Caenorhabditis elegans: one gene and its partner. The protein of the gene in region 1 purifies or fractionates together with the protein of each later gene. This does not show direct contact. Each region holds a gene or a part of one and is shown on either strand. Other genes may lie near its edges. The genes, in order: K07F5.8 and mpz-6.

Region 1 (15,097 bases):
TTGTCGTCCAATTTGAATCGGGGATCACTATTGAAACGTGATTCTAGGTGCATCAGCTTTTCGCCTAAAAATTGAAAAATAGTTTTGGTTTAATTTATTTTAATTTTAGACAATACCTTTAGGACCAGAGTGTCTATTTTTGATTTCAAAATCTTCCTCCTCATCTTTATCGTTTTCATCTTCAGAATCGAAGAGTTTTGGACGTTTTGAACTGCGCGAGGTTTTCTGAATTATTCCAACTTAGTTTACGAGTATTGTCTTTACAGCAAACAACTTTATGAAATCGGGCAATTGCTGTTATAAGAGATTTTTATCTCAAAAAATTGAAAAACTTCCAACCTTTTCACCATTCGCGGCTGTTTTTTCTGTTTCTTCATCCTGATCATCCCCATCATCCGAATCTTCAAATACAATGCGTTTTGTCGTTTTTTTGTCAACATTAGCAATGTCAGCAGCAATTTGACGATCTCTTTCTCTCTGATCTTGAATTTTTTGCCTCATCGCGGCTCGACGAGCTTCATCTGAACGTTGACGTCTCTTTTCATCATTGTCTTCATCGTCCATTTTCTGAGATACATTTTGCAATAGTTTTTATGTGATTCTAATTATTTGAAAATCGCAGAAATTCGAACGGGAGACAACCGTTATTTGACAAAACTCAAACAGAAAAATGGAGATCAAATTTATTCTAGATAGAAGTTTGAGATGAATTAATTCAATCTATTAAACAGTGTGTGAAATAAGACAATTAACAATTTGAGGAGGTCAGATCAACAGTTACAACCAAGAATGAGGCATATTTTATGAAAAAATGTACTCGTGATGACAGGCGAACATAGAAAAAAGCGAGCTTTTTTGCTCAATATGTATAAGTTTTAAAAACAATTTTCTGCCACACATCTTAGGTCGAAACAGAAATAACCAGAAACCTGTCAGAGTTTGAAAGAAAATAATGATGATACAAAAGAAATGAGCGAATTTTTAAATTAATACGAGAAAATCTGAAAAAAAGATTTTCAGAAAATCTTTTCTAAAAAATAAATTATCCTTCTAGAGCCCTTCTACAAGCTTCAAGACTTTCGATTTGTTGATGTGTTGACTCGTAAAGGCCAGAGCAAATATTAACAAATTTGGTAAGCACTCTACGAGCATAGTGTTCATCTTCAATTGTCATATCAAACATTTTCCACATTGATTCTTGAAGTTTATCCGGTTTTGATTCCAAAATCTCGTAGAATTTGTCGACATAAAACTGAAATTAATTGTTTTATACAAAATTAAATCATAATTTTTTCTCACCTTCACTTGATTATGACGATTCATTTGGGCAAGAAGTGTATCAGCTTTAGCTTCAATTACATCCTCATCAGTGTCAATTTGACGTGAATATCTTGATACAATCCATTGTGCAAGCATAACACGAACAATTCTGTACGAGAGAGTTTTATGGCGATTACGAATAATCTCCATCTTAACAACTGCATCTGCATGTTCATGCTGAAATATGTATGACATTTGTAAACTTTCATCAAGTTATAACAACTTACATTAGCTTCTTCAACACGATTTCCCAATGCATTAATTGCCTCGTGGAATAGTTTCGACTCGCCAACTTGAGCCTTCTGTCTGTCTCTTAATGCTTCCCATCCACGTACTGGAACAGGAAGAAGTTTGTTTGGAGCTGGGTTTTCTTTGATTGCTTGTCTCCAAATACGCTCATCGATTCCTGAAATGAATGAAATTTGATACAATGCGAGGGAGGAAAACGAAAATCTTTGTTAATAAATGATAAACATAGTAAAAATAACGAGTAAACTAACCATCAGGAACTGTCTCCAAATATCTATCTCTTTGTGCTTTCGACATTCCAACTTTAGGAAGAACCCTTGTTTTATCCACTTGCAACTGCGATTCTAATTGGGTCATTTTTGGAGCATCATTGAGGATTTGAGCAAGTTTAATAGCTCCTGCAACAAATCCGCCTTCTTTGGCGATAATACAGATTTCTGTGCATCCATCAGAAAGTGTTCTCATCGAAGTACCAGGAGCATATCGAACTTCTACATTTGGTCCGCCACCAAGAATAGCTTTGATAATTTCAAGAATTTTGTCACGGCGTTCTTCTGTGTTCAAGTTTGTAATAGGATGACGCAGCACCAAAGTTACAAATCCCTCATCGTCGGTTCGCTCCGAAATACGATTGTATCCGATTCCCTGAAACGTGACACTGTGCAAGTTTTCAGTGATTTATAAAATAAACTTACAACAAATCGTTCAAACAAGTTTCCTTCCATTGAAAACGATAGAAGCTGATTTCCATCTTTGTATGGAGCTTTTCCGACACCCAAACCGGCAGCAACTTGATTCAACTTAGCAACAACTCCATCATTATCATTTCCAAAGAGCTTTGGATCTCCGACAGCTTTCACAAATGGGTGATACTGCTGAAAAAATTTTATTTGGAAAAGCGCTCAGATATTCTTAAGATTCATTTAATTACCTGAATAACTTGTTGCTGCTGAACAACAGGCTGTTGTTGTTGTTGAGTTGCTCCAAGACCACCAAGAGTAGACCCTGAGCTGGAACCAAAAAATCCGCCTGTAGCTGGCTTTGCAGTACTCGATCCAAAAAGCGTTGATCCCGCGGCTGTTCCAGTCGACGCTGCTCCGAATGGGGTCGATCCTGAAAATTGAGCCATCAAAATTATCAAAGTTCGTTAATTAGACAATTATATTCCAGATTCACGATAAAATACTTGAAGCAATGTTTTAAAGCTAATTAGACATATCTAAATTAATTATTTTTAAGATTTAATATTAGGTTTAGTTTTTTTTTTTTTTATTCGGTTTTTGATCTGACCCACCAAGTCTACTCAATTCTAGAAATATGAAAAGCTAATACAAAGTTGATGAATACCAACCTCCAAATGTTGAGTAGGGAGGACGATAAGCTGCTGGAGCCACATTCAAGTTGTTTGCCGGTGATAGAAAAGATGACTGTGGGGCATTAGTTCCTGGTAACGCAGATGGTGTGGCAAAAGATGTTGGAGTATTACCAGAAAGACTACCAGCCCCCAAAGTTCCTGATTTGAATGCTGCCAATCTTGTGGCAACGGGTGATTTGGCAGTTTGTTGTGTGGATCCAATACCGCCGAGACCTCCAGATGTCGTTGATGATGTTCCGAAGAGTCCTGAAGTTCCAGAAGTGGTTCCAGATGCCGGAGAATTTGTGAAAAGCGTGCGGTTAGCGTCATTGGGTGCTCCAAACAAATTGCGACGGGCTGGTGAACTAACATTCTGGGTTGCTGGGGCTGGAGCTTGAGATGCTGATGTCGTAGGTAAATCGGGAAGATTTGGAAGATTCTTCGGCATGTCTTCTGCTTTGATTCCGGTGATGCCCCCACGTCGGGCAAACATTTCTGCAGACGCTCGAGACGAAGAAAACGAGTAGCAAAGAGCAACACGGGTGATAGAAGAACAGGCAAAGAAATCCGCACGACACCGACCACGACAGAGAAAAGTGAAGGTAACGAACACAATGACGACGAGAGAAGTAGAGCGATAGGAGAGAAATAACAATTTTGAATAAAAATTAAGCGCAAATCACAGAAGTAGAACCTTGGTAGGTCAAATAATTTGTCAGATCAAAAAATATATTGAGTCTATTTTCTTTTTTCATTCATTTGTTGCTGGAATTTAGAATATAATTTTTTGGTCCAAAATGTATTACTTCGATCAATATGATTTATCGATTTCCCCTCCTTATCATTGTCTAGCTTTTCTCTCAACGAGACCACACAACAGCTAATAGTATAAACTAAGTAGAAGTGACCGAAAATATCGATAATTTTGAGTAGCTTACCGGTTGTAGAAGCACCGAAAAGACTTGGAGTAGCTGTTGAAGTGGTTGGAGCAGCACCAAACAAAGTTCCAGCAGTTGAAGTGGTAGTAGTTGAAGTGCCTGTCTCTGAAATTTAATATATTTCGGTTTAAAATGCAACTTTGATTACGAAGTAAGTTGTGTAAAAGTAAAAATATCAAACTTACTTCCAAACAATCCTCCAGAAGGAGTAGAGGTATTTGTTGTTCCAAAAAGCGAAGGCGTTGATGAAGCCTGAGCAGTTGAACCGAACAGAGGCTTTGATGGCGTTCTGAAAATAATATTTTTGTATAAAAATAATACTTCTTAAAATACTAACGTGCTTCCAAACAAAGTTCCAGACGATGTTGTTGGAGCATTCGGCGTTGGAAACGTAAATGCCTGTTTTTGGGGAGTAGATGACCCGAAAAGTGACATTTCGCTGAAAACAAACGATTTTTAAGAGAAATGGGGCTTGTGAGAAGAAAAAGAACACATATGTAGTTAATGCGAGAATTCTAGAATGAAAATAATAATATAAATAAGACAATGAGCCGAATTAAATCGATTTTTGGGGACGCTTTGGCGTGCAAATTTTTTCGAATTTTGTCTGTGTACGAAGGGGCGCGTTTGCTGGCACCCTCCTCGAAGATGAAAGAATACATATTCCGAAGAACATTCAACCGTGAAAAGAAATGCATGTTTCAGGTATTCAGTTACTTCGTATTTTGCGAAAATTTGATAACTCATTTTAATCAAGAATTCTTAAATTGAATTTCGATATAAAAGATATCAATAGTAACTTCTTTAGATTTCCAGTTGTTTTGTTGAAAAATTTTTTTTTTAAACCAAACGATCGTTTAAACGATACGAATAATACTTTATTTCAAATATAATACAACATTTTGAGATGAGATCAATAAATCGTTCGGTTCTGTTCTAATTAAATCTGATTAGACAAAGCAATCATAATCACCGAAATGACACCAATAACAGAAGAAATTGCCAACGTAGCATATGATCGGGTTCCTTGAATACTCTTGAATACAAATACATCAAGAGCTCCACTAATTAACGGTGGAAGACGGGCGGTACATGGATAGGCAACAACTTGAGATAATTTATCACTGGAGACAAACCAAAGTGTCATTCCTGAAGAACTAAACATTTGAACAATCGACCACGCATCTCTTACCTGTAGTCCATAAAATACCGTACCCAATCGATGGAATTATCAAATTCCTTTCCACGTAGGCTTTTCGACGCAAAATTACACAATACGCGAAGAAATACAGTGTAGAGAAGAGGAATACTGATGTGTAGAATGGGAAAATATAGTCAAACACTTGGAAACTATCAGTTGGTGGATTCTGTTGCTTCAAATATTCAATCGGTGACATCATCAAACCATGTAGACACGCAAGAACCATTGCCATAAGGATATAACTGAAAATTCGTTTTTTTTTTAAATTTCTAAGCATGCCCAACGAACGGTAATTTCTTTGCCAAACCAGCCATATCAAATGAAGAATCTCTTTCTGAATTGCTGAGTCTTTGCTCAATCTCTTCTTGATGTTCCATTTCCTTGCTGGTCACATCATATTCATTTTCTGGCTCCGTTTCCACGTGTTTCACGAATATCAAAAGAACTCCACTCACGATTGTCAATGCAATTCCAATATAGTTCAACACATCATTTTTCACATTCTGCGGGGCAATCCATTGGAACAGCCCGAATCTTGCCACTCCCCATCCGACAATAATCTTAAAGAAGAGTTTCAGAGTAGTTTCAGAGTAGTAGTAGTAGTTTCAGTATGTTTCAGAGTAAGCTTTCCGCGTAGACACAAAACGCCTGCCTGCATTTTGAGGCAATCTGCGTCTTCCCGCCAAAATTCCGAAAATAACGAGGTAGACGGTATGGGCGCAATTGCTGGAAATTTTGAAAACCAAAAAAATTGTATCACATTTCCAAAACCTCTGATAGTATTCAATTGAAATTCATGCCACAAATAAGTATTCAAGAAATAATTTTAGATTAAAATTATTTTGAAAAACCTTTTTTTTGAGACCCGAAGAACTCGTGGGATGTCCAACTGGGGGGATTACCAACTCGGGGGATTGGCCCCGCCCACAGAACCGTGGCTTGCAATACGCCCATTTCTGCAACTGCCGCACGGTTTTAAAACTGTATTTTTCTCAATAGAGCGAGAATTAACAAGAAAAAATAATTTTAGTTGCAAAAATTCAGTTGCAAAAATGGGCGTATTGCAAGCCACGGTTCTGTGGGCGGGGCCAATCCCCCGAGTTGGTAATCCCCCCAGTTGGACATCCCCCGAGTTCTTCGGGTCTCTTTTTTTTCAACATTTTTTGGTTTTCTTGAAATCAACTGTAATTCTGTCGCAGAAAAATTCTATCGTGGGTTGAATTCTACGTCTATGGCGGTTTTCATAATTTTTCCTCCGATATTTTTTGTTCCAACACTTTTTTTTGGTTTTCAAAAGTTCCAGCCCCTGCGACAAGTTATAAAATGAAATAAAAACCTGAAGACTAGTCCAAATCAAGAATCCAACTCCCATCCCAATTCCTTCAACAATTGGCACACTGAATACATTTCCAGTTGCATAAAGAAATCCTCCAATACACGCAATTGGCTCGAATTTTGGAAATCCACGTGCTGCGTAGAAGATGCAACCGACAATGAATACAACTCCACATTCAATCCACTGGACAAAAAATCCTGAAAATTTCGACTTAAAAAAGTTTCTATAATCCAAAATATACTCACCATCCTTACAATTTCTTCTTCTCAATGGAACAAACATTGTTCCAAAAGCGCAGCAAGAAAGAAGAAGTGCCACGTATCCGACGATTTGAAGTGAAGTATCTACCGTAGGAGCTACGGTAGAGCTCATTGTTACCTAAAAGTTTTTGCGTTACACATGATAATTACAAATGTTTGAATTGTAGAATTTCAAACAAATTGTTGAATCTAACAACCTAGTTGATTGTACACTACAATTATTTTGCAATAAAATCTGAGAAAGAGAAAGAATTGTACTAATAATAACTAGTATTATTAGTAGTTCTACAGTCTTTTTTACTATAAAACTACAAGGAAATGAGAATAAAATGAGGGAAACGAGGAAGGAAGAAAAGTGAAGAAGTAGAGACGTAGAGATACAATAGTTTTATTATTAGAGCGTGGTAGGTAGATCAAAAAAGTTTTTGGAACTATTCAATGTTTTTCATGAAATTTCCTTTCAGTTCTCTGGTTTCATTAGAACTTTCAAATAAAATGAACAAAAAGTACTTTATACCCTCCCAGGTCAAAATTAAACAACGAAATTCAAAACGAAACATTTCCTTTTCTATCGAAATTGTTTATTTGGTAAACTTCCAAAGTTTAGAAATTTAATCAATAAAACTAACGTTGTGAATTTTCAATTTATGTCAATAATCCTTTGAGACGCCTCCATCTAACCAAAAATCAAATTAACTTGAAATGAAATTCATATTTTTAAATCACGAAACTAATTGAAATCTCGAATATCTTCCAACGCAATAATTGTTTTACTAATTGTAAATAGAAAAGGTCAAATTATTTAATATCTCTAAACTGTAAAAAACCGTTAAAGTTCAATTCTAGAAGCAGCTAAACAAACAAAAAGTTTTGTCGTGTTGTCAGTTCAAAGACAAAAGAATGACAAAAGTGACCAATTGTCGGGTCGTTATATTTAGTTTAGCGATACACGCGTTCTTATCACTTTTGTCAACTTTCTAATCAGTTGAACGCCATTTTCACACCTTTTCAAATGAGTTGAAAATGAAAATAATGAGAAGTTCATCAGTTTATTTGTCGAAGAGATATTGAAAAAAAAACTGTTGCCCAAACGAATTGCCTATGAAAAAACTACAATTTGATCATCTCTGATTATTGTGAAATTCATTTTGTGATATACACTCAAAATAAGGTTTTTAATCTAATACTCCACTTTTCAGATATCATGTAACAAGAAAATGTGTGTATAGAGATAGCTAAATATAAGTTCCTTATCCTCACAACTTCCTCATTATTAGAAAAATGATTACGAAAACTTGATCTGTGTACGTTGTTTAATGGCGTATATTGGATTCGAAATTTTTGAGGTTAGATCATAATTTCCAAAATAAATATTCTGGTATTAACAGAGAGTGAAAAATTATGTCGCCGAGATAGACAGTTAAGAAACTAGAGCATCCCAAAAATCATGTTCAATATCGTATTATAGGAAGGGAAATGAAGTTTCCCACAATTTGGATTGAATGAATAATGTATGGTATAATGGGGGGAAAATGGTGTGTAAACAAATCAAATATATGTGGGTAGACAAAAATACAATGATTTGATGAAATTTGCGTTAAACCACTTTATTAAACGAATTCTATCAATTGATAACAAAAATAAAGTAAAAACGGAGAAGGATCTAAAGCATATTAGATCTTTTTTAGTTCAACAATGAATCTGATTATTTTCCATTTAATTAATTTCAATTTTAATCGAGCTAATGGAAGTTTTAGATTTAGGAAAATTGCATTAAATATATTGATAAATGGGAAACAAGTAGGTTATTTGTTATTTAGACTTTAGCGTGTTTGAATATTGGGGAAATTGAAAGAATTGAATTTTTTAAAATGTTCAGATGGCTCTCATCTTCCACTTTCAAAATTATTGGCATTGCCTGAAGCGTCAATTGTGAGAATTTAATCAAAAGATTTAAAACATTAATTTCAAGAAGGCGTTTTCAGTAAACATTGGCAACAACATGTGGGACTGGACGCCTCACTGATGTCAAAATGAGTATTTGCATGCTACGTGGATGCTCAGAGTACGGATTCGCTTTTCCATTGGTTTCGACAGGATTATCTCTTTGAACAGTTACATCCTTGGAAATGCCATTCTTTTATATTTTTGCTCTAAATTTTTGTTATTGTAGACAAAAACTCTTTTCTTGTAGAATGGATCAGATTCTACACCATTCGGGAACATTGAAGCGTATCACCCAAACCAAAACCTTTTCTAAATTCGATTTCGAATGCCAAAAATTAAATGCGAATGAACTGAGATTAGTTGTCGTTTTTCTTTCCCAAATTTCAATACCTATTCTCAGAACTACTACTACGAATCTCTACGAATTCACTACGAATTCACTTGAATCTCAACTTTTGGAATGAAGTTACTGTTCGAAGAAATAGAACATTGAATAATGACTCCGCTGCAGTATTGTATTCTGTTGAATACGACTTGTAACTTCAAAACACATGAAAACATAAAAACAAAAAACGTATTTTTTACTGTTTATTGACTATAAAAGTTCAACAAATTCTCTCCTTCTTACTTGGGTGCAAAGTATGCAGATGTGGCACCACCTCCAGCTCCGCCGCCACCTCCGGCTCCCATGTACATAGATTGTCCGGGAATTCCACCTCCACCACCGCCTGAATTCAATTTATTAATACTTGATAGTTACCCTCTTAAATTTACCTCCAGACTTGGCACCTCCAGCAGCACCTCCTCCAACTCCGAAGTAGGCAGATTGTCCAACAGCTCCACCACCTCCCATAACGCCTTGTCCGACTCCGAAGTATCCAGAAGTGGCTCCACCACCACCGCCTCCTCCGCTCATTGATCCGGCTGGTGGCGCGGCTCCAAGAGCAGAAGCTCCACCGCCTGGGGCTCCAACAGCAGTCATTGTAGATGCTCCACGTGGGGCTCCGCCAACAGCGGTCATGGTGGAAGCTTCACCTGGGGCTCCTCCAACAGCTGTCATCGTAGAAGCTCCAGTTGGCGCCCCACCGACAGCGGTCATGGTTGAAGCTCCTCGCGGAGCTCCTCCCACAGCGGTCATGGTGGAAGCACCAGTTGGAGCTCCTCCGACGGCAGTCATCGTGGAAGCTCCTCTCGGGGCTCCTCCGACAGCTGTCATAGTAGATGCGCCAGATGGTGCTCCGCCAAGAGCAGTCATTGTCGAGGCACCTCCACCAGCTGCTAAAAAAATACAATATCACTCCAAACTGAGACTACAACAAAAAGAATTACGTGGTGGGGCTCCCATAGGAACGGCAGCTGGGGCACCTCCGACTGGTGCTCCTCCAACAGCGAAGTAAGCTGACTGGGCTCCGCCACCGCCACCTCCTCCGGCTCCAGCTCCCATGTACACTGATGTTCCTGGGGGTGGTGCACCGGCACCTCCAACCTTCGAGGCTCCACCGCCTCCTCCTGCTGGTCCTCCTCCAACTCCAAAGTAAGCCGATTGTGCACCAGTATTACTCCCGCCGGCAACTCCGAAATAGGCAGATGTCATGGCTGATCTCACGGTTCGAAGAAAAGTTCGAATATGATTAAAACTGACGATTTCGCGAAACTTTATACCAAATAGTTCAGATCTTATCAGTTATTTTAGGGCAGTAGAGCAACGCGTGAGAAATTCAAAATTTTTAATGAATTTAAATTTTATTACTCGATTTTTGAAATATCAGTTTTCACGTGCTTTTAGATATTTGAGTAGAAAATAAATTATTTTAAATATTTTTCAGTTTTCAGTTTTCACTTTCACGCACGTAGACACAAAATATAAATAATAATAATTTATTACGATCGTTGAGGAAATTGGATTTTCGGGATTTTAAAGGAATATGTGTAAAAGCCTGCTCCAAAGACTTTCTGTTGTTACAATTCCTTATGATCCTTGCACATCCATTACATATGACAGTTCCTCAAGTCCCATAAATATGAAATGAGTATATAGGAAAAGTGGAATACCGTATTTCCTCTATTAGTAAGGCATGCAAAACTAATTTTCGGACACCTAATTTGATGCAAAACTAATAGAGGCGCCTTACTAATAGAGGAAATACGGTATATGATGTGGTAAAGATTAAATAAAAGATGATTAAATATGTGAACCTAGATCATGGTGAAGCCACATGGTGGTCGTGTCTCCTCGACACATGTTAATTTTTTTATTACAGTTTATTTATTTATTTGAAAAAATATGAAAAAAACTAAATATAAAAGTAAGTGAATCCGTACAGAACTCGTTCTCTAGGAAACTGTACAGCAGACAAAAGGGAAAGTACACAAGAACAGATGACCCTGACTATAAAAGCGCTATTCAACCTGTCAATTTTAGAAGCTCGGCGTAAAACTATTGATAATGTTTTCTTGTCGAAAATTCTACTAAACAAAGTTGACATTGACATAGATCATTTTTTTAATTACACAAAAAAGTAAAACTCGAACCAAAACCAAGTTCATCTGGGGGAAATGCAAAATCAAAATACGTATACATTTTTTCACGAATAGAGTATTAAGTTCTATAAAAAATAGCGAAATGAATTTTATATTGGCATCTCATGTTCTATGAATGTTTATACTTTTAAGTCTATTACTTTCATGTTACCCATCATTCATCTCCCTGACACCCGCACATTGACAGTTTCATTCTCTATCTAATTAACTGTTCAGAGGATAATTCATTTTCTGCATGCTTATTATCAATATTTGTATGATTATTATCAATTTTCCAATGATTTGTTGTCTTTAACTCATTCGTGTCTTTTTACTATTTATTTTTGATCACGATTTCAATCGTAATAAATACAGCAGCTTTTTAAAATTTTCGATGAAAAATGTTTTTTTTCAGAAAATAAAATTATTTTTCTAAATGGCACCGGTACTTTTTAGGAGCTATACCTCAAAACACTATTAGTTTTTAAACAAATTAATAATTAAAATTTCAAGTAATTTTACGCGTGACAAGGTTAATAGAGCATCTTGATAGGAGAAGGTATAAATATTTGGCGAAAACGGTAATCAAATCAGTCTTCAGTACCAAACAACCAACAGCCGAAGCTACAACATGTCTCTGACTGCCGATCCACCAGCTTGTACCGTACCAGCCGCTGGAGGATCCTCGACTCACAAGCTCGTCAATGGTGGAGCTGAGAAGATCATCTTCAAGATCAAGTCATCCAACAATAACGAATACCGCATTGCTCCAGTTTTCGGATTTGTCGATCCATCCGGATCAAAGGATGTTGTGATCACCCGCACTGCTGGTGCTCCAAAAGAGGATAAGCTTGTCATTCATTTTGCACCAGCTCCAGCCGATGCTACTGATGCTCAAGCCGCTTTTGCTGCAGTCACTCCTGCTGGAACTGTCACCATTCCAATGTCGGCCACCGCCTAAAAAGAGCACTTTTTGTAACGTTTGGGTAAAGATGAAAATGAAATATTTTTGATGAGGTCGTTTTTTTTTTCAATTACTATCAAATAAGACCTTTTAATAGACTCCCAGAAAACCGCGACAATGGCTTGTGTTCTTTGAACGGAAGATTAAAAGAGTTATCCATAATTTGGTGAACCATTAATTGAATTTTTTTCAGTAAAACAAGTCTCAATCGAAGTCCTACTAGTTCCTCACCACACCGACCATACTCTCAATATCACCAGTTAGATTTCACAAATTGACAAGAGAAACTGAAATTCTTCCAAATTAGAGATTCTTAATTATTCCAATTTTTCTTTAGGCTTATTAACTTATAGGCTTATTTTTTTATTTTATCTTTAATTAAATATTATTCATGTTTTATCATCCCATTATTACAAGTGTTCAGTTCTAAATATTTAATGGAGCACGGCATATTGGGAAATTATCAAAATTATAATAATTTTTTTAACTGGTGAAAGCTGAGTTTACACCACTTTGAGAAATCTAAAGCACTGTCGCATGTTCACACCACTACAATGATAAAATAAAAATATTTTGAACATATTAAAAACATAAACCTAGAAGGAACATTTAGTTTTTTTTATCACTGACTTCCAAAAAAGTTGTGAAAACTTTTTGTTGTACTTTACAGTACTTTTCAGTCAAATTGACTTTTTCCTGAAGTTTTTTACAGTTTTATTTTTAATGTTGTACAGTTTAATACAAGAAACATATTTTTTAGCTGTAGTTTTACTTGTCGAGATGTGTTAGTATGGATTTTCCCTACTAATTGTTTTGAAGCCCCGTACTTTTAATTAAATTAAATTCCGACGATTAGCAAAAATGACATTTTTAATTTTCCCGTGAACCGAAATGCCTTTTCCACTTTTGAACTTCTACGTAGCTCTTATCTGATCAATCATAATGTTGGATCAGTTTGTTTCAAAAAATCAATTACTTTTAAAAATTTCCGAAAAACGAGTAGTTTGCAAAAAGGAAAGCCGGAGAAATGTCGTCGACTAAAAGTGAGTTTAGATTTTATATTTCTTTTAGCTTTATTCGAGAAAGTTACAGAAGACAAAAAACGAGGGCAGAATTTGCAACTATGAAGCGCTTCAATGACTTCTCAAAGATGAAAGCATTCAAAGATGCCCAGGAGCATGGAAAGAACCGCTACAAGGACGTAGGATGCTTGGACAACAATCGGGTGAAGTTGGGTGGAGCATGGCCGCATGAATATATTCATGCGAACTATGTATCTACTCCAACTAACCCGAAACGTTTCATCTGCACCCAAGCTCCCCTTGAGAAGACTTGTGCCGATTTCTGGTTCATGTGCCTGCAGGTTTGAAATTTTTTTTTTTTTGGAAGTACTAACAGTTGAACTTTTAGGATCGCGTCGAGACAATCTTCATGTTGTGCAACTATAAGGAGAAAGGAGCAAAGAAGTGTCACGAATATCTTCCAACCGAGGACAACAAGGACACTATGTCATTCAAAGAAAAAGGACAGAAAGTCACCGTCAAATTCGAATCGTCAAAAGCGGTTTGTGTTGAAGAAATTGTTTGTGCATGCATACAAACATGTTTCAGATCAAATTTCGGGACAACAGTGCCGCGAAGGTTACGAAGACCGTGCTGACAGTTGAGGGAGCTGGTTGTGATAAACTTAAGGTTAATCATTACCACTGGATAGATTGGCCTGATCGAGGAGTTCCGACTGCTGACAATGCAATTCTCGAACTGTTGGAAAAAGCCAGAGTGTCGAAGTGAGAATAGTTTGTGACCTTTCAGCATTATTTCCTTTTTTAGAGGACCGATTGCTGTGCACTGCTCGGCAGGCATTGGGCGTACTGGCTCCGTGGTGATGCTCGAGTACGTGATGGATCAATTGCTAGCTGGACAGATTATCGAAGACACTGACAAGATTATTCAGAAAATTCGTGAACAGCGTAACAATTCGGTTCAGGTAAAACAAATTTCTTGCTTTTTCGGAATAAAACATCAATTTTCAGACCGATCATCAATACCTCTTCGTCCATCAAGTTATGATGAATTTCTTTGAAAAGCGTGGACTTCTCGATGAGGCCACTTCTGCCATTCACAAGGATTTCACCGATCAATACAGTAAATGCGTCCTATAGAACTTTTCCTTTTCATCTCTAGAAAATTCTCGAATAAACTTTTGTCATCAAAAAAGGATTTTTGTTTTCACTGTCGTTGAACACAATAAAGAACAATTTATCACAGTACATGATTTAAAATTATCTCAAAGATAGCAAGCAAATCAAGAAATATTTGATATTTTTTTGTCAGGACACGTTTTCTCAAGAAGAGCCATCCAACTTCACCTGATTGATATCCAAGCCGCCCACACATCTTTTTCTTGTCGCAAAAACCTCATTAATTACAACGTTGTATTGATAGTTTTTTCATGATTCCTGACAAAGTCACATAAAACGTTAAATAATCATGTAATAGTATTCTAATAGTACTACGAGAGAATATGCATTACAAATTGGCATTCTTACTTTGCCAATACGGTTTGTCATTCCAGGAAGCCAAATTCCCAAATGCTGGCGGAAAATCGGAGCATATGGTGGTCAACTTTACCTCAAAACGCATGGCTATCAAAGTTCGATGTGGCAATGCACTATTTCGTGTTGAGCCAACTCACATGATCATTGAGCCCAACAAATGCCGCCAATTGACAATCAATCGGATGCCTGGTCCAATTCAAAAAGACAAGGCAATTGTTCAATACCTAGAAATCGAGAAAGACGTGCAGGATCCGAAAGCTGCATTCAAGGCAGCGGACAGTGCTGGAACCAAGATTCCACACCTGAAGATCAAGTTGATGGTCAGTTACCTTCCAGGTTTTTATTTTCATTTAAATTTATTTTTCAGGCAGGAGCATCGGGAGGACGTCAGATGTCAAGAGAGGTTGTAGAAGAATGAGTGATGGAATAGAAGTTTTATGTAGTGAATCTG
Region 2 (15,746 bases), on another chromosome or scaffold:
ATCTTGCACAGATAAAAAAAATTGGTTTCAGTTTTACAATATTCTGAACCAATATATGTTGTCAAAGTTGTGAAAGCAGTTGCAATATCGAATGCCGATAAAGTTGGCGCACAACACAGTTTTTTTCCTAAATAAAATTTAACTTACCACAATATTCGACCATACTTCTTCTAAATAAGGATGCACCAATATTTTCTGAATATCAATTCGATCGTCTGGATTTATCACTAGCATGCGGAATAGCAGATCACGTGCCAGATCGCAGTCTATCGGTTCAGAAATCATCGTGTCGAGGAACAGACTATTAGGGAAGTGTTCATGTATGTTTGTAGGTTTTTGATATCTGGAATAAACTTTTCGAATATTTCAATAAACCACGAAAAACTAACTGATTCATTGGAAGGCCCAAGAAGAATGTTCTAGCAGAATCGGGCATCTGCATATAGAATGACAGATCTGGATTCCCAAGAAACCGGACTATTTGGAAGAATTGATCAATTTGGGTTTGGCCTGTGAATAGGATTTTTCCAGTCAGAAGTTCAGCTAAAATACAGCCAAGTGACCAAATATCAACTGAAAAAATATTTCAAAGTAAAATGAGGACCTGGAGTGCCTAGCAGGGACGTGCCATTTGTTCGACATCCTGAGGAAAACTTGATTTCTTGGCGAGTTATTGATTGCATACTTTGATAATTTTTTATCAGATAAATTGATTAGACCCTAGCCTCTAAGCAAGAAATGCAACCAATGATAATAGTTATAAAATTACGAACCACTAGGTTTGTTGTTATCCATCGTTTCACATAGAATCTCTGGTGCTCGATAGAATCTTTGTACAATATATGGCGTATTCACAAATGGATCTTCTCGATTTGCATGTGCGAAACCAGAAATCTTTGCAATTGCTTCGTAGTTGATTAGAACGTTTTCAGGTTTCAAGTCCTCAAAAAAAATAATGTTTTGACGATTCTCGTTGTAAAAAACACTAACTCTGTGACCAACTCGAATTGAATGCATATATTGAACCGCCAAACAAACATCAAAAAATATAGATTTTATAACTTTGTGATCTAGTTTTTCAGGCGTTGAAAGTATAAACTAAAAAATTAAATTTTTAACACAAAACATTTTTGTTCAATTGCCTCACATTTCTCAAGTTCCAATCCATGTACTCTCGAACAGTATAAAATTCTCTCATTTCTTCTACAGTCTCTACCCATGTGTATATGCTGTACATTTTGACAAAATTTTCTTCCTGTATATGCAAAGTGCAAAATAATTCTCGTTGAGCTCGCCTCCAGTGTTGCCTGAAAATTCCAATAATGCTGAGGAAAAAAGCTTCGAATATTAAATTATGATAAATTGATTTACCAATTGTCGAAGTTTTCCGGTAGAACTACTTTCTTGATTACCACTCTTCGTTCTGATATTTGATCGAATGCGATGCTGAAAAAATAATATCAACCACAACAAACGTCTGAAAATTTGTTCGTGTTTAAATTTTCAAATAGTTTCCAGAAAAATAATTTCAAGACTTAAAAGTATAAAAAAACATACACTTCCATTGCATTTCCAAATTGACTCGGTAGAAGATCAACATATCGGTTTGGAACAATGAATAAAACTTCATTTAGTATTTCTTGGCGAAACATTTTTCTGCTGGAGAGTGAAATCAAAATGTTGAAATTTTGAAAGTTTTTAGTGATAAACTAGTATCACCGTTTTGCTCAACACAGCAAACTCAAGTGTTATCAGCTGTTTATGTGGGGAAAATGAATTATAATGCCGCATTCCAAAACAAAATAAAACAAATACCTACTTTTTTGAAAAAAAAAAAACGTTATAACTCTTCTGTAAGATAATTAGAAATAAAACGAATTCATTGCAAAGAATCGCGTTCTTCGATTCAAAAGTTCAGAAAATATCGATTTAATGAAAACTATTATCAGTGACAATTAAGAAGGGATCAAATATAACGTGTCTTGCCTGCAAAAAATAATTTGTTGCATTCATGATAGTAATAAAAGCTAAAAAACTTACACTGTCCGCAGGTTTTAGGGCACAAACTATACATTGGTGATATGAAAAGACGAGTAGTCTTGCAATACGATTTAAGCGCTGTGCAACCCACGAATGTATCTTCACAAACTCTCGGAGTGATAATTGCTTGATTAGCAGAACAGCAGTATCCGCTTGAAATTTAAGTGTGCCCATCCGGACAGGATCCATTGGCGGACGCTCAAATTTTGGAATTTTGCCAAGTGTTTATTTTATTACAGCAATGTATTTACCTACCTTGAATAGTTGGGGTTCTGCAGGTTTTTATTTCTTGGGAACTGATAATGGCACCACTCAATGCCAAATTAACCAGAAATCTGATCATACTTGAGTAATGGTAATTTTGAGATTTCTGAAACGATTTGTTATTACAGTTTCGCACATAATAACATGTTGTCCAGGTTTCCAGTACAAAGTTATTTGTGACGAAAAACTGAAAGTACATTTTAAATAACAAAAATTTCCATGTTACCAACAGCATCAGAAAAATTCGGGCTCCAATATTTTTCAGTCAGAGCATGTTTGTCCGATTGTTTCAATAGTACAGCATTCTGAAAACTTATTTTTCAGTTTTTAGTACACAGTTGTTAAACGTCGAGTTAAGAAAAAAGTGCAGTGTTATCCAATAGCAGTTTATGCCATTTTCCACGTACTTGGTTTGCCGAACTAAAAACTTGCTTGCAGGAATTGACGCACTTTTCTGTTGTTTTGCAGTAGATTGAAACTAACATACTGAATGAGTTATAAAGTACAACCTTTCTTATTTGAGTGCATTTTCCCCAAAAGACAGAAAACAAGTAGGTACATTCTATGATAAACTGTGTCATAATGTTGCATAACTGTAGTTCTAGACTAATCACCATATTAAAACTGCTATAAAAACCGTGAAGAATGCCCCACTTGTCATTTCATTTTTGAGGAGAAAATGATCAAGCACCTAACTATTTTCTTTATTCTCGCAGCTTCCACAAGCGCCCAACAAGTGGTTTCTTGTCGAGTTTCTTTTACTGGACGTGAGTTTAAGCTCGAGATAATGGGTGTTCCAGTATTATAACTTTTCAGCGGCTTTTGGAGGAGTTTGTCCAGCAGGAAATACTGAAGTCTCTAGTGGAGACTGTTGTCCAACTGCTCAGGTTGTTAATGGAACAATCACCTGTAACGGAGGGCTTGTAGGACGTAAGTTTTAAATATATCTGTGGACTTTAGTTAAAGTAACTCAGCAAAAGTTATGCCGATTTTCTCTTCTTGTCTTGCAGTTCTACAGGTCAAATGATCCGGAAAAATGAATGTTTCATAAAGTCTAGTAGTGAAAAAAAGTAGAGAAAACTCATTGAAACACCAATAACAAACATGAATCACAATAAAAAGCTTATGCATTAATGCATCATTAATTCAGCATCAATTGGCGGTTTGTGCCCGGCAGGATCCAGTCTGACTACTGCTCGTGATTGCTGCAACAATGCGAATATTGTGATCACCACTCCATGTGTCGACGTGTATCCAAGATGCGCACACTATCAAAAATGTTGTGCCAATCCACAATTCGAGGCAAAAATGAGAGCAAACTGCGCGCTTACTTGCAAATTCTGTAAGCTTTTCTTGTACGTAAGAGGTTATAACAATACTTTCAGGCACTCCAACACCTAACAATGGATAACTGAGATGATTTTTTCAATGAATTAACTGTACTTTATAGTGGGAATAAACAATGTTTTAGTTTTATACATTAGAATTTTGAGTTTGCCGGGGGAACATTTGTTACTCCATAAATCGAACCTGATCTTTCAGTTACCGAAAATCTCAAGGAAAGATCACACCCATGGAGTCCGAAAAGATCAGATTCTCCGAGACTCGAGAACCTCTGGTATTTCATAGACATTTATTATAACTTATAATCTACCATTGGTTGATTCTGAGTTATGAAATATCTGATGATTTGATTTTGCCTGGGAAGATCAGATTCAACTTTTGAAATTTGAAAAAGTAGGATTTTTGTTCTGAAAGTCCTGATTCCAACTATCATATATTTGAGAATAGCTTTATTTATTTTCACGTGACATAACTGATCATCACTCCAAAGTAAAATTCTCATTTATTTCCAATTATTTCAACTTGGCAATGACTGTACAACCGCAAGCAGAAGCATCGGGTGTACCTCTCGAACATGAAGAACAACCAAAAAATCAAAAGCAAAGAAAGGCGGAAAAATATTTGCTGCGATGGTACAACGCTTTGAGAAACTTACCGACTTGGGTTCAGAAAACGTAGGATTCTTGTTCATATTTTACTTCAAAAACACTTTTGCATTTTTTTAAAGAAAAAAACGAAGAATTGGAGCTTATAATGTGTTGGTGGTGATTTTATGCATAATAGTTATTGTGTTAAGCATAATTGTTTTGTATCAAGGTATGGTTTTGTTTTACTGTGGTTTGGTGAAATGTATTATTGAATTTCAGATCCTGAACAGACGCATGACAAGTATGGAGGATCAATTCTTCTCCGTGAAGTCAATCCATATGATGAAATGGATAAACTTTTCAAGAATGCAAATAAGTGAAAGTTTCTAAAATGTACCTTTATTATAATTTTTTGTTAGTGTAAAATCAACGTATAAAAAATTCCAATTTAAAGATCAGAACTTATATATTTTTGCCTACTCTTATAAAACTTCACATTATTTTTATCAATGGTAAAAATCTGAGAAAATACTTTTTGGAATTTTTCAAGATTCGAAGATTTTTTTTCTAGACAAGAATTATAAAACAAAATTTATTCAAGATAAAAATATATAATAAAAAGTATAGGAAACTACATGCAAGAAATGAGATTTTGAATTGAGATTGTGTACTTGTATAAAAAAAAACTCCAACAGAGCAAGATTACTTAAATTCTAGGAGATGCTCCAACTTCTGAATCCACAGGCATCACTTCTGTATTTTTGGGTTCTGAACCCATAACAGCTTCTGCCAAAGTTAAGTCTCCTTTCTGTTGAGCCCATTTTGCAGGTTCAGCTCTGTAAAAGTTACTTTTTTCATCAACAGTTTAAGTTTCTTACCTGGCGAAAACAATGAAAATAGTATTTGTAATTGCAAGCACTGCTCCGTAAATCATAAAAACTCTTTGCCATTCGCTGAAGCTATCGGATGGGGTCAGAGCTGGGACCAAGAAGCTTCCAGCCATTAGGGATGAGCAGGCAATTATCTAAATTGAAAAATTGAATTCATACATTTTTAATTAAAAAAAAAAAGGTTTTCACTGCTAACCTGCACAATAGACATAACAAATGGAGAGTATTGTCCGGAAACCATAACAGCACACTTGCTGTATCCGCCGGAAGAAAACCCTAGGAGAGCCATAGGAATTGCTGGAAATTAAAAGTTAAAACAGCAATAAATCTATTGAAGCTTACAAAGCAGTATGACATCCAATACTTTGCTTCCTCCTGGACTGGAACATGAAAGAATAATGAAGAAAATTGAAGAGCCAAGGAGAGCGCACGAGTTGAACATTTTCATTTTTGTGAGGTCAGAGATGGACTTGATGCGATCCGAAAAGAATCCAGTGCTGAATTTTATGACGAGCTGAAAGATTTTTTTTCAAATAACGGAGAATTAGATCCAAAAATATTTACCAAACAAGCCATTGGAATAAGTGTCAAAAGTCCAGCTTCAGTGGGCGTGCAGCCGATAACACCGCGCAAATAGATTGGAGCATAGGAAATTGAAAATTGGGATACCAAAAAGTTTCCAATAACTGCAATCCAAACACCCCAGATAACGATAGAGGAAACAATTTTGCGGATTGGAGTCTGCATTTTTATTTATTTGAAAACATTAATGTGAAATCTCTAACCTCATTAGATCCTTTTCCAGTTTGATCAAGTTTCTTTCCAAAACTTATTTTTCTCCATTCCTTTCTCTGCACGAACGGATGCTTCACCGCACGATCTCTGTAGTAGACAGCCCAAAGAATGGTGAGAGCTCCTAGAATTGCTCCATGCAAATAGAACACCCATGGCCAACCAGCTGAAAATTTTTAATTGGAATTTAAGACTAACAGACTTTGTTTCTTAAAACTGCTCACCACTCGTTGCAAGAGCTCCAGAGACTGGCATTGTGAACACTGCTCCCATTTCTACGTGAGCCGATAGTACAGAAATGAACAATCCTTTTTCATTTACAGCTGCCCATTCATTAACAACAACTCCGGCTGTAGTGAACAAATTAGCCAGAGTGATTCCTTGAAGAACACGTAAAATCACAAAAACTGGAAAACTCCAAGTGATAACAATCGGCGTTATAACAACAAGAAATGTGCCAAGAATTCCACTCAAAGTCATCACTTTGTGAACTCCAAATCTAGCTGTAAGCCTCGACATCGGAACTACTGCGGCGATGGCTCCAAGGAATCCCGCAGCGAATCCCAAACTTTTTTGAGTTGTGTCGAATGCGAAGCGACGTTGGGAAAGTGGAAGATCAGGATCATTCCAGTTGATTTCATCCAATGATTTGTTGGAATTTACAAAATCCTCCCAGTAGGGAGACGATTGCGGATTCACCATGGAGACATAACACGCATTGTAGCAGATTATTCTGAAATTTTGAATTTTTGAAAAATTGTCTGGTGAAAACTAGGTGTTTAGAACATTACCGTTCAAGCTATTCAAAAAATCTAGGTTTGATAGTGAGTCAAATGCGACTTTTTCTGTTGAAAAACTGACCGAGAATTGGAAAAATCGGATAACAAGCCCCGCCCAAAACTTGGTTCTTTGCGTTTTTTCATCGAATTTCTTATTCATGGTTATCAAAACTTCTCGTAGGTTTCGGATATAGTGTTGAAAATCTAGATCCAAAACAAGTACTTCAGATTAAAAAAAGATCATTCAGTTTTCAAATTAATTTGTTTTCTCAAATATGCTCCGCCTATACATATTTTGGTGGCTTGTCGTTATTCATTGCATTAGTTAAAAAAAAGTTACACCTTTCCAGTAACTGAAATGTGAAAAAATATTTACACAAATGTTCAAAAGCCGGAAATTTAATGAAAAAACTCACGAAGAAAGTAAAAATGACAAGAAAAAAAGCCCAATGACAAGAATGATGTACCGATTTGCACCGCGACATCCATATCTTCCCTCTTCTTTATCAACTTGATCACAAATCGTTCCAGACGAGGTTGTTTCAGATGATGCTGACATTGTGATATGATAGCAACTATATAAGCAAAATCAAATTGTTAAAAAGTTATTAGTGGAGGTCTTTCCGAATAGTTTTATATACTATTGCTTATGCAAATTCGGGTGTCCTCTCAGTTTTTGTCATGATTCGGTACAGAACCACATGAGGAAGGTTGTAGCAGAGGTGTGAACTGTGAACTATGTACATACACAATCAGCTCAATTCTAGCAGTGTAACTCTGATTTTTTTGAACTCGAGAATAAGCGTAGCATGAGTGTTGTAGTCAAAAAAAAACAATTGTAATATTTGTCCATGCTCTCTGATTCCGTGCCGAGTCTGAAATATTTTAAACAGTCGACACTCACAAATGATATACCGTATTTCCTCTATTAGTAAAGTGCCTCTATTAGTTTTGCACCTCTATTAGTTTTGCATCAAATTAGGTGTCCGAAAATTAGATTTGCATGCCTTACTAATAGAAGAAATACGGTTTGTCTCTACTTTTTGATTAAATGTAGGTGTATTGTTATTTTCCGGTTAATACCTGTTCTCAAGAAGTGCTCGGCATTTGGCTCTAGCTTCTTGCCCAAGTTTAGCCCAAAAAATATTAACTTGGATCAGAAGCTGTCTAAACTTGGGCAAAAGTTAGGCAAGACTTTGGCAAAACTTGGATTCAAGCCTTACCAAAGTCTAACCCAAGTTTCACCCAACTCTTGCCAAACTTTGGCCCAAGTTTGAAACGAAATAAGAAAAGTTCGGGCCAAAGTTTGGCAAAAGTTGGGTGAAACTTGGGTTAGAGTTTGGTAAAGCTTGAATCCAAGTTTTGCCAAAGTCTTGCCTAACTTTTGCCCATAATATTTTTTGGGCTAACTTAGGCAAGAAGCTAGAGCCAAATGCCGAGTGAGCCACATTCTAAAAAATATTATTTTTATTCGTAGGACACTCGAACAAAGTGAAAAAGCTTTGCGTGACCTTGGAAATATTGATTTCATATATACCACGTGGCGATTCGTTTGATAGACGGCTTCAAGCAGTTGCAAATTATTTTCCAACAATAGTTTTGCGAAAAAATCCTCGCATCGAAACAAGTAAAAATGGAAAACAAGTCACCAATGAAAGGGAGCGAAGCAGAAAATGCCAAAGATCAGTTGAAGAAGGTTAGTTTATGGAATATTTTGTAGTTTATTAATTATGCAATACTGTAAACTCTGTATCTTGAGGAATGAAAACTGCGCATTTTGACTTAATAAGTTTGAAGTGGTTAGTACTCCACGTTGTGGCCGTGGCGACGCTAGTTCGATTCCAGCAGCAGGCAACGTTTTGCACTTTCCGAAAAGTAACTTTTTAATATACAAACTTATCAGAAAACTGCTGAAGAATTCGCTCAAATGGCTATCATCAATCGTGCTTTTTCTGCTGAGTCAACTGAAGACCCACCACCACTGGCTCAGAAACGGTCCGAATCGACTTTAAAACCATTGAATGATGAATTGAAGTCGGTGCCACTGGTTAGAGCTTTCAATTCTGCTGAAAATCAACTGGATCCAAAGAATCAGAACGCTGCAAAGAAGTGAACAGTTATCAATGGGATACTTGATTTTTGAAAGTAATAAATTAGTAAAGTTAAATGTATTGCTCTCAATTTCAATAAACTTATCAATCAGTTCTGATACCCGACACAATTTTAGAGAACTCGTTTCTTGGGTTGTTTAGAAATATTTTACTCTCTGGCTTCACAGAATAATTTACTCTCCGGCTTCACAGTATATTTTACTCTCTGGCTTCACAGTATATTTTACTCTCTGGCTTCACAGAATAATTTACTCTCTGGCTTCACAGTAAATTTTACTCTCTGGCTTCACAGTATATTTTACTCTCTGGCTTCACAGAATAATTTACTCTCTGGCTTCACAGTATATTTTACTCATGGCTTCACAGAATAATTTACTCTCTGGCTTCACAGTATTTTACTCTCTGGCTTCACAGTATATTTTACTCTCTGGCTTCACAGAATAATTTACTCTCTGGCTTCACAGTATATTTTACTCTCTGGCTTCACAGAATAATTTACTCTCTGGCTTCACAGTATATTTTACTCTCTGGCTTCACAGAATAATTTACTCTCTGGCTTCATAGTATATTTTACTCTCTGGCTTCACAGTATATTTTACTCTCTGGCTTCACAGTACATTTTACTCTCTGGCTTCACAGAATAATTTACTCTCTGGCTTCACAGTATATTTTACTCTCTGGCTTCACAGTATATTTTACTCTCTGGCTTCACAGTATATTTTACTGTCATGTACATTTTCAGCCGTATCTTTAAGTGTGTATTATCAAATGAAAATGACAATTTATTGGCAAAATAGGTAGATTTTCAAAACTTTAAAAATTCATAAATCACTTCAAAGTAACTTTTTTCGAACAAATTTATTCCGAATATCTTCCTCAAGTTAAGATCCCAGACGTTTTGGAGTCATTTTCAGGGGCTTCGGAGACGGAATGTATGGGATACGAACTTCTGGGGCAGGCTCCGATGGCAAGGTGGCTGGAACTGGAGTTGGAGCTGGTGCAACGGCTGATTTGATAATACATGGAGGATTCGTGCACGGTTTCTTGTAGAAATCTTGTTTGTCTTCATAATTTCCAAAACATCAGAAGGAAGAAGCTGCAAAGAAGAAAATGAAAACATGTTTCTATATTTAAGTGAAGTGATAAAAGAAAATGGGTTTAAACTGACCACATCAAACTGCTTGTTGGCTTTTCCTTGGGGTGGTTTTGGAGGTGGAAGCATCACTGAATTTCCAGCTTTCTTCACTCCAACAGCAGTACTCTGTGCACCATCGGGAGGCAGTGGAGCAGGGCCGAGTGGATCAGTATTTGTGGATCTTTCCAATGTAAGACGTACCGTTTTTGTGTTGTTGACACTCGCATAGAGAAGCTGAAAGAGCGATAATAGTAGCCATTTGTGTTTCGGAAGATATCATACTTTTCTAGCAGAGTCACGATCAAGAACATAAATGTCATTAACTTTGACAAGAATATCTCCACCTTTGACATAGTGACACGCATTGGAAGCCGACTGAACCATTGAAATAGTTACAGTTTTTGGATCAACTGCCATCTGGAAACCATCTTTAAAAGTTTCAAGTGTCCCGATTACTGACTCTATGAATAATAATCCCTGTTGCAGCACCTCCACGATAAGTGAAAGTCAACTCAACCATCTGAGTATTTGGACGACGAGGTGGCAATGGTTTTTCAGTGACAAGGCAATGATCATCTCGCATGAACTCAATTGTCACTTTTCCAGGAAGTTTTGCACTGATTGCACGGATAAAGTCAGCAGTTGTCTTTATGTTCTGAACATTTGGATTAGTTGAAACGGAAGCGGAAACGGATCTTAAAATATTCCTTACGGTTTCTCCATTGACGTTCAAAATCTCATCACCAGCAAATAGAACACCCATCAATTGGCTACTCACGTCCACATATATGATCTCAAATGTGATTATTCAAGATCTCTTCGATTTTTGAATTGAAAATGAGTTTTTTAATAGCCCAAACTTCGTATTTATGAAAAATTAAGGAATTTTCGAATGTTAAACACATCAGGAATGCCGACAAAATTGTGCTCGTTTCAGCTCTTAGCGCGAGCCCTACGTTGAATACATTATTCAAAAAGAAATGTATTTCCATCTCAATAAATTATTTCAGAAACATTTCCCAACAAACAAAAACGAAATGAGCCCTCATTTACCTTCCCATTGACCACATCACATGCTACAACCACATTCTTCCGTTCGAATTGTACTTCTTCTTTTCCTTTTACATGAAAACTATTGTTGTTGGTTGTCATCTGTAAGAAGTTCATGTCAATGCAGTCCGCTTCTCTAGTAACTGGTAGAGTCACTATGCCCTCATTGTCAGACCCAACGCGCAATCTGAATGTTAACTTACTCCGAATGGATTGTTGCGGATACGAAAGAGCTATCGATAAGAAAATATTTAGAACTGAGTCAGTTTTTGTTTTCACTTTTTATTTTTCTGTAATTTTTTTCTGAATAAAACAAGTACAAACGATGTCACGTTGTTATATTAATTAAATTGATAAATTATTTATTATCAAAATATTATCAAATTTCGATGAGATCAATGGAATAGAACAATTCAATCATCGTTGTCTTCTGCTTTTGTCACTTTCTTTTGACCTCCTCTTACAAACTTTGAAAGTCTTGAACGAATTGTATTCAGATCTTTGCTGTATGTTGGGGCGCTGAAACCAATAAAAATTCGTTTATTTTCTCTTTATTTGAGCATTTCACCTATGAGCTGTACCTTCGGACTTTGTGCCACTATCAGATTCTTCAGTTTCAAATTGTAGGTGGGATATCAAGAAGACGTTGGAAACTTGATGGCATTGTTGGCATTTTGCTCTTTTATGCAGATCTTTTTGAAAATTGGAGATAAAAATCTGAAAATACGTTTTTCCATAACAAACACGACTTTTACACCGACACTGTTCTTCGTTGGTGCAGAAAAATTACAATATCGATTTGGAATTCTCATAAAAGAGCAGGTGGCAATCTACCACCTTTCTATATTGTCACATCACCTCCACACTCTCCGAGCAAGATGGGAAACTCCGCCCACAAACGCTGAAAGTTGATTACAACGACGTAGAATCTGTCTCATTCAGTCAGTCTTTTATTATCTCGATCTCTCCCTTTTGAATTATGTCTGTGAACATTGTTTTCTCCAATCCTTCCAAAACATACCTGCCTGGCGACTATGTCTCTGGAAAAGTGTTGCTCACAACAAAAGATCCAATTTCTGCACGATATATGGAAATCACGTGGAAAGGAGAATCAAAGTGTAATTTTGGAGGATCGGAGAGCTCAAATGTCCAACGCCATCTTGCCGGAACATTTATGGGATGGATTGCCAAAGATGGAGTTGTGAGTTTTTAATACTTAATAAATATATTTTCAAAATATTCCCATTCAGGACACAATCCCCGCTGGAACTCTCAAATCACGTTTCCGATTCCGACTTCCAGAAAATTCTCCGCCAAGTTTTTGCGGAATGTTTGGAGAAATTGAGTATTCTGTTACTGTGGAATTTGATCGTCCGTGGAGACTCAAGTTAAAAATGATGAATACATTCCGTGTGGTTCAGAAGACAAATCTGACACTTTCTGAGCCAAAAATGATGAAGTACGCGGAATTTGTCAAGTCGAAGAATTCTGGAACGATTTTCAAAGATGGATTGTTTTTGTTGAAGGTATTGTTCAATTTCAAAAGTAGAGTCAAAAAATTCACTCATTATATTTTAGCTTCACTTTTCCAAACGAGCATTCCTCGCAGGGGAGACAATCCGAGCACTTGCCATCATGGAGAATCATTCAACAAAACCAATCATTAATCTTCGTTTCGAGCTCATTCAACAATCCCATTACCACTCTCGCCCACAGAAATCATTGTGTTCTCTTAACGATTGTCACTCCGACTGCCCAATTGAATCCAAATATCGAAGAGATGGTGAAACAGTGCTCCGCGGAGCCAATTACAGTTGTGACGTCGCACCTGGTGAGGTGAAATATATCAATGTGGAGATTGATCTGCCAAATGGACTCCCGCCAACTTTCGAATCTCCAATGATCTCAATGGGATACCTGTTGGGATTTACCCTAAGAAATGGATCACTGACCGGGAATCGATTAGCATGTAATGCACGGATTGTGGTTGGAAGTGAGGAGACAATCGATGAAATGGTAGATGAATGTGAGCCGACAAAGAAGAGCCAATGCCTTACTGCATCACCACCACCATATCACCCATAAATTAATCAATGATCATATTCATTTGAATGTTTTAAAATAAAGTTTTTTTTTGAAAAAAGTTGTGTAAAACGGAATGTAGACGGAACCATATAAAAATAATTCAAATATTTAATTCAGAAAGGAAATCTGTATAATTTTTTCAGGAATAGCATTAATTGAAAAATCAATTCACAGAGAAATATGAACAAAAATAAATAAAAAAAAAAAACTTATAATGCAACTTATTTTATTCGGAAATGTACCCCAAATGTCGCCCCAATGAGAAAAATATGATACCAGCAAAGCTCGAATCTTGGATTTTTATTAAGATGTTTGTCTATTTTTTTTTTGAAAAAAAGCATATGCTCAATTTTTATTCAAGTAGAAAGAATCATAAAAACAGTTCACTCCTCTTTTGGCACTTCCTTCTTCTTCTTCGTCCTCTTGCTTCTCTGACTTTTTCTGCTTCTATCACTATTGTTTTTGAAAACTGCCAGAAGCCTATTTTTCGCTTTTCCCATCTGTAATGTCCCATCTTCACACATTCGAGCAAATCGTTCAAATTCTGCAACTGCCAATGGTATTGTGGCTCGACGAGATTCTTCGACAAAAATACAACTGCTCATGTACTCTTTTACTTCGTCTGGAGTCATTGATGGCATTGGATAGAAATTGTTAGCCATGATATCAGCCTTGATAGTTGCATTCGAGACACCTTCAAATGGTTCAGCACCGTCGACGAAGACTTCGTAGCAAGTGACTCCCCAGCTGGAAAGAACACTTGTCTATACCTCAATAGTTGATAAAACTAACCTATAAACATCAGTTGCATATGAGAAGCTCAGAGTAGCCAAGGTTTCAGGCGCGAGCCACTTTATAGGAATCTTACAAGATGTCTTTGTTGTATAAGATGGTCCAGCTCTAGATAATCCAAAATCGGTGATCTTGACCTCGTTCTCGTGAAGAAGACAATTTCTGGCGGCGATGTCCCTGAAAAGTTTTCAATCGATTTTCCAACAAAAAACCTGCTCACCGATGGATACAATTGTTTTGATGCAAGTACGCAAGACCCTTTGCAGCTCCAAGACAAAAATTGATTCGATCCGCCAGGGGCACCGATTTCGTCTGCTTCATGTAATCTTGCAAGGATCCACCTTTGACCAACTCAAGTAGAATGTACAGTGGCTGCTCATCATGAGCAACTCCATATAGGCGTACGACGTTTTTATGATTGAAGTTTCTGATGAACCTTGCTTCATTCATCATCTCCTTAATCTTCATTTTGCTCAAAAATGCAGATGCTTTGGTCATCTTGATTGCTACTTCTGCTGAACTTCCATCTTTGAGCCTCAGTTCACCAGCGCACACTTTTCCGAATGCTCCTTCACCAAGGACATCTCCAACTGTCACATCCGAGTGCATGAATTCCCATGTTTGCTGAAGAATCGGGTGTTTCAGTTGAAAATTTCCAGAAGAGCAATGACCAGTGTGCTTTGTGTAGTAGTTGATGAGATCGGCTACAGTAGCGAATGGGCGTGCTGCTTCACAGAAAAACTTGTTGGATACACGTTTAATCACCACATTATGAATCTAAAAATATGGTTATTTGTTTCAAAACTTTACTTCACTCAACTTACCCTTTTCTCTTTTTGTTTTCCTTCCATATGGCCCGTCATCAGTGATAAAATGATCTCCCGAACGACTTTGCTTTCTCCTTCAACTACTTCCGACACACGAATCAAATAATCTCCTGGATTGTGCAACGTGGCTTGTAGATCTTCGCGTGGCAGAAACCCATGATAAAATTTGAATCCTCGAAGCGTTTTCTCCAAAACCGGAAAGTATTCCCTATCGGATGTCATTAGAGACTTTTCCTCGGGAGCTGTGCATTGTGGTTTTTTCTTTTTCCGTCTTGACGATTTTCCTCGAGCACTCTTTTCTGTTGGTTGAAGGGTTGCCTGCAATGAGCCTGCCATTGATAGAAGCAATGAGTCTGCAATGGTTAGAAACAATGACTATTTTCAGATTGTAAAAAGATGTTCCAATCTTGAGGTTCATCATATCCAATGAACTGTGGTCAGGATAAGGTCAGAAGAATTGAACTTTCTCAAGAATTTTTAACGTGACCTGTCGAAAAAGTAACTATGACAGTCCATTTTGAATTATAAACTCTCAAGATCATCTGAATTTGCAAGTACCTCTGGTCGTTCCCGATCTCTAGTCCCTCTTTTAGATCGTTCCAATTTGTCTCTCCTGGAGCCAGCTACCGGACCATCTGTGGTTGGGAGCATTGACGATCTCCTGAACAATTGACAGTTTCAAGCATTCTAACTTCATTTCCTTACCTGGATCTTCCAGAAGCCACAGCTGCTGGTATCATTTTGGAAGTTGACTTTGTCTTGTTTGGTCTGTAAGAATCAAAATTTTGATACTTTTCTTGTGAGCGATGAATCTACTCACTTTGAGTTAACGTACAATGCGAATGATCGAGCATCTTTACTTGCCATATTTTTTGTTTTGGTTCTGAAATATGCGATATTGATTTAACAAAATAAATCAGAAAACAATACCTCTTTTATTATGAATCAGTTTCAATAAGTAGAAACTGATATCTGTCGCGAAAAGTGAGAACGTATTGAGAAATGATTGAAAACTCATTGGAAATCAATGAATATACTGATGGTTTTTTT

Evidence for each region.
Region 2: the proteins of K07F5.8 (region 1) and mpz-6 fractionate together in Caenorhabditis elegans (co-fractionation; one large-scale study listed by BioGRID). This does not show direct contact.

What each region holds. Positions count from the first base shown.
Region 1 is NC_003282.8:9,847,691-9,862,787, reverse strand, and holds K07F5.8 (Protein-tyrosine phosphatase), read left to right. Parts: upstream 1-13,063; 5' UTR 13,064-13,132; intron 13,133-13,181; 5' UTR 13,182-13,212; coding exon 13,213-13,452; intron 13,453-13,499; coding exon 13,500-13,652; intron 13,653-13,699; coding exon 13,700-13,875; intron 13,876-13,918; coding exon 13,919-14,075; intron 14,076-14,121; coding exon 14,122-14,250; 3' UTR 14,251-14,303; downstream 14,304-15,097. Other genes in the region: K07F5.14 (NUC153 domain-containing protein), read right to left, coding at 1-64, 117-225, 340-564; npp-1 (Nucleoporin Nup54 alpha-helical domain-containing protein), read right to left, coding at 1,043-1,252, 1,300-1,497, 1,548-1,726, 1,821-2,214, 2,265-2,444, 2,501-2,682, 2,921-3,190, 3,862-3,966 and 2 more; K07F5.12 (Transmembrane protein 144 homolog), read right to left, coding at 4,802-5,010, 5,054-5,304, 5,351-5,622, 6,399-6,595, 6,644-6,770; ssq-1 (Sperm-Specific family, class Q), read right to left, coding at 9,230-9,333, 9,380-9,883, 9,935-10,199; ssp-10 (Sperm-specific class P protein 10), read left to right, coding at 11,757-12,086; K07F5.7 (Major sperm protein), read left to right, coding at 14,613-14,966, 15,014-15,064.
Region 2 is NC_003280.10:9,395,883-9,411,628, forward strand, and holds mpz-6 (PDZ domain-containing protein), read right to left. Parts: upstream 11,239-15,746; 5' UTR 11,196-11,238; intron 11,095-11,195; coding exon 10,996-11,094; intron 10,736-10,995; coding exon 10,655-10,735; intron 10,598-10,654; coding exon 10,403-10,597; intron 10,360-10,402; coding exon 10,225-10,359; intron 10,177-10,224; coding exon 9,976-10,176; intron 9,904-9,975; coding exon 9,718-9,903; 3' UTR 9,652-9,717; downstream 1-9,651. Other genes in the region: Y51B9A.9 (Protein kinase domain-containing protein), read right to left, coding at 148-343, 390-573, 774-942, 991-1,098, 1,148-1,307, 1,372-1,446, 1,558-1,652; Y51B9A.14 (uncharacterized protein), read right to left, coding at 1,930-1,986, 2,041-2,229; Y51B9A.8 (ShKT domain-containing protein), read left to right, coding at 2,984-3,071, 3,121-3,234, 3,455-3,646, 3,690-3,715; Y51B9A.7 (Small integral membrane protein 8), read left to right, coding at 4,177-4,322, 4,376-4,464, 4,515-4,615; Y51B9A.6 (Major facilitator superfamily (MFS) profile domain-containing protein), read right to left, coding at 4,942-5,071, 5,114-5,259, 5,322-5,422, 5,468-5,639, 5,690-5,866, 5,911-6,083, 6,142-6,650, 7,113-7,255; Y51B9A.5 (Ovule protein), read left to right, coding at 8,330-8,392, 8,600-8,809; arrd-2 (Arrestin C-terminal-like domain-containing protein), read left to right, coding at 11,972-12,193, 12,243-12,518, 12,571-13,077; M176.9 (Tyrosine-protein kinase), read right to left, coding at 13,461-13,824, 13,870-14,046, 14,090-14,646, 14,694-15,014, 15,255-15,357, 15,402-15,464, 15,517-15,563.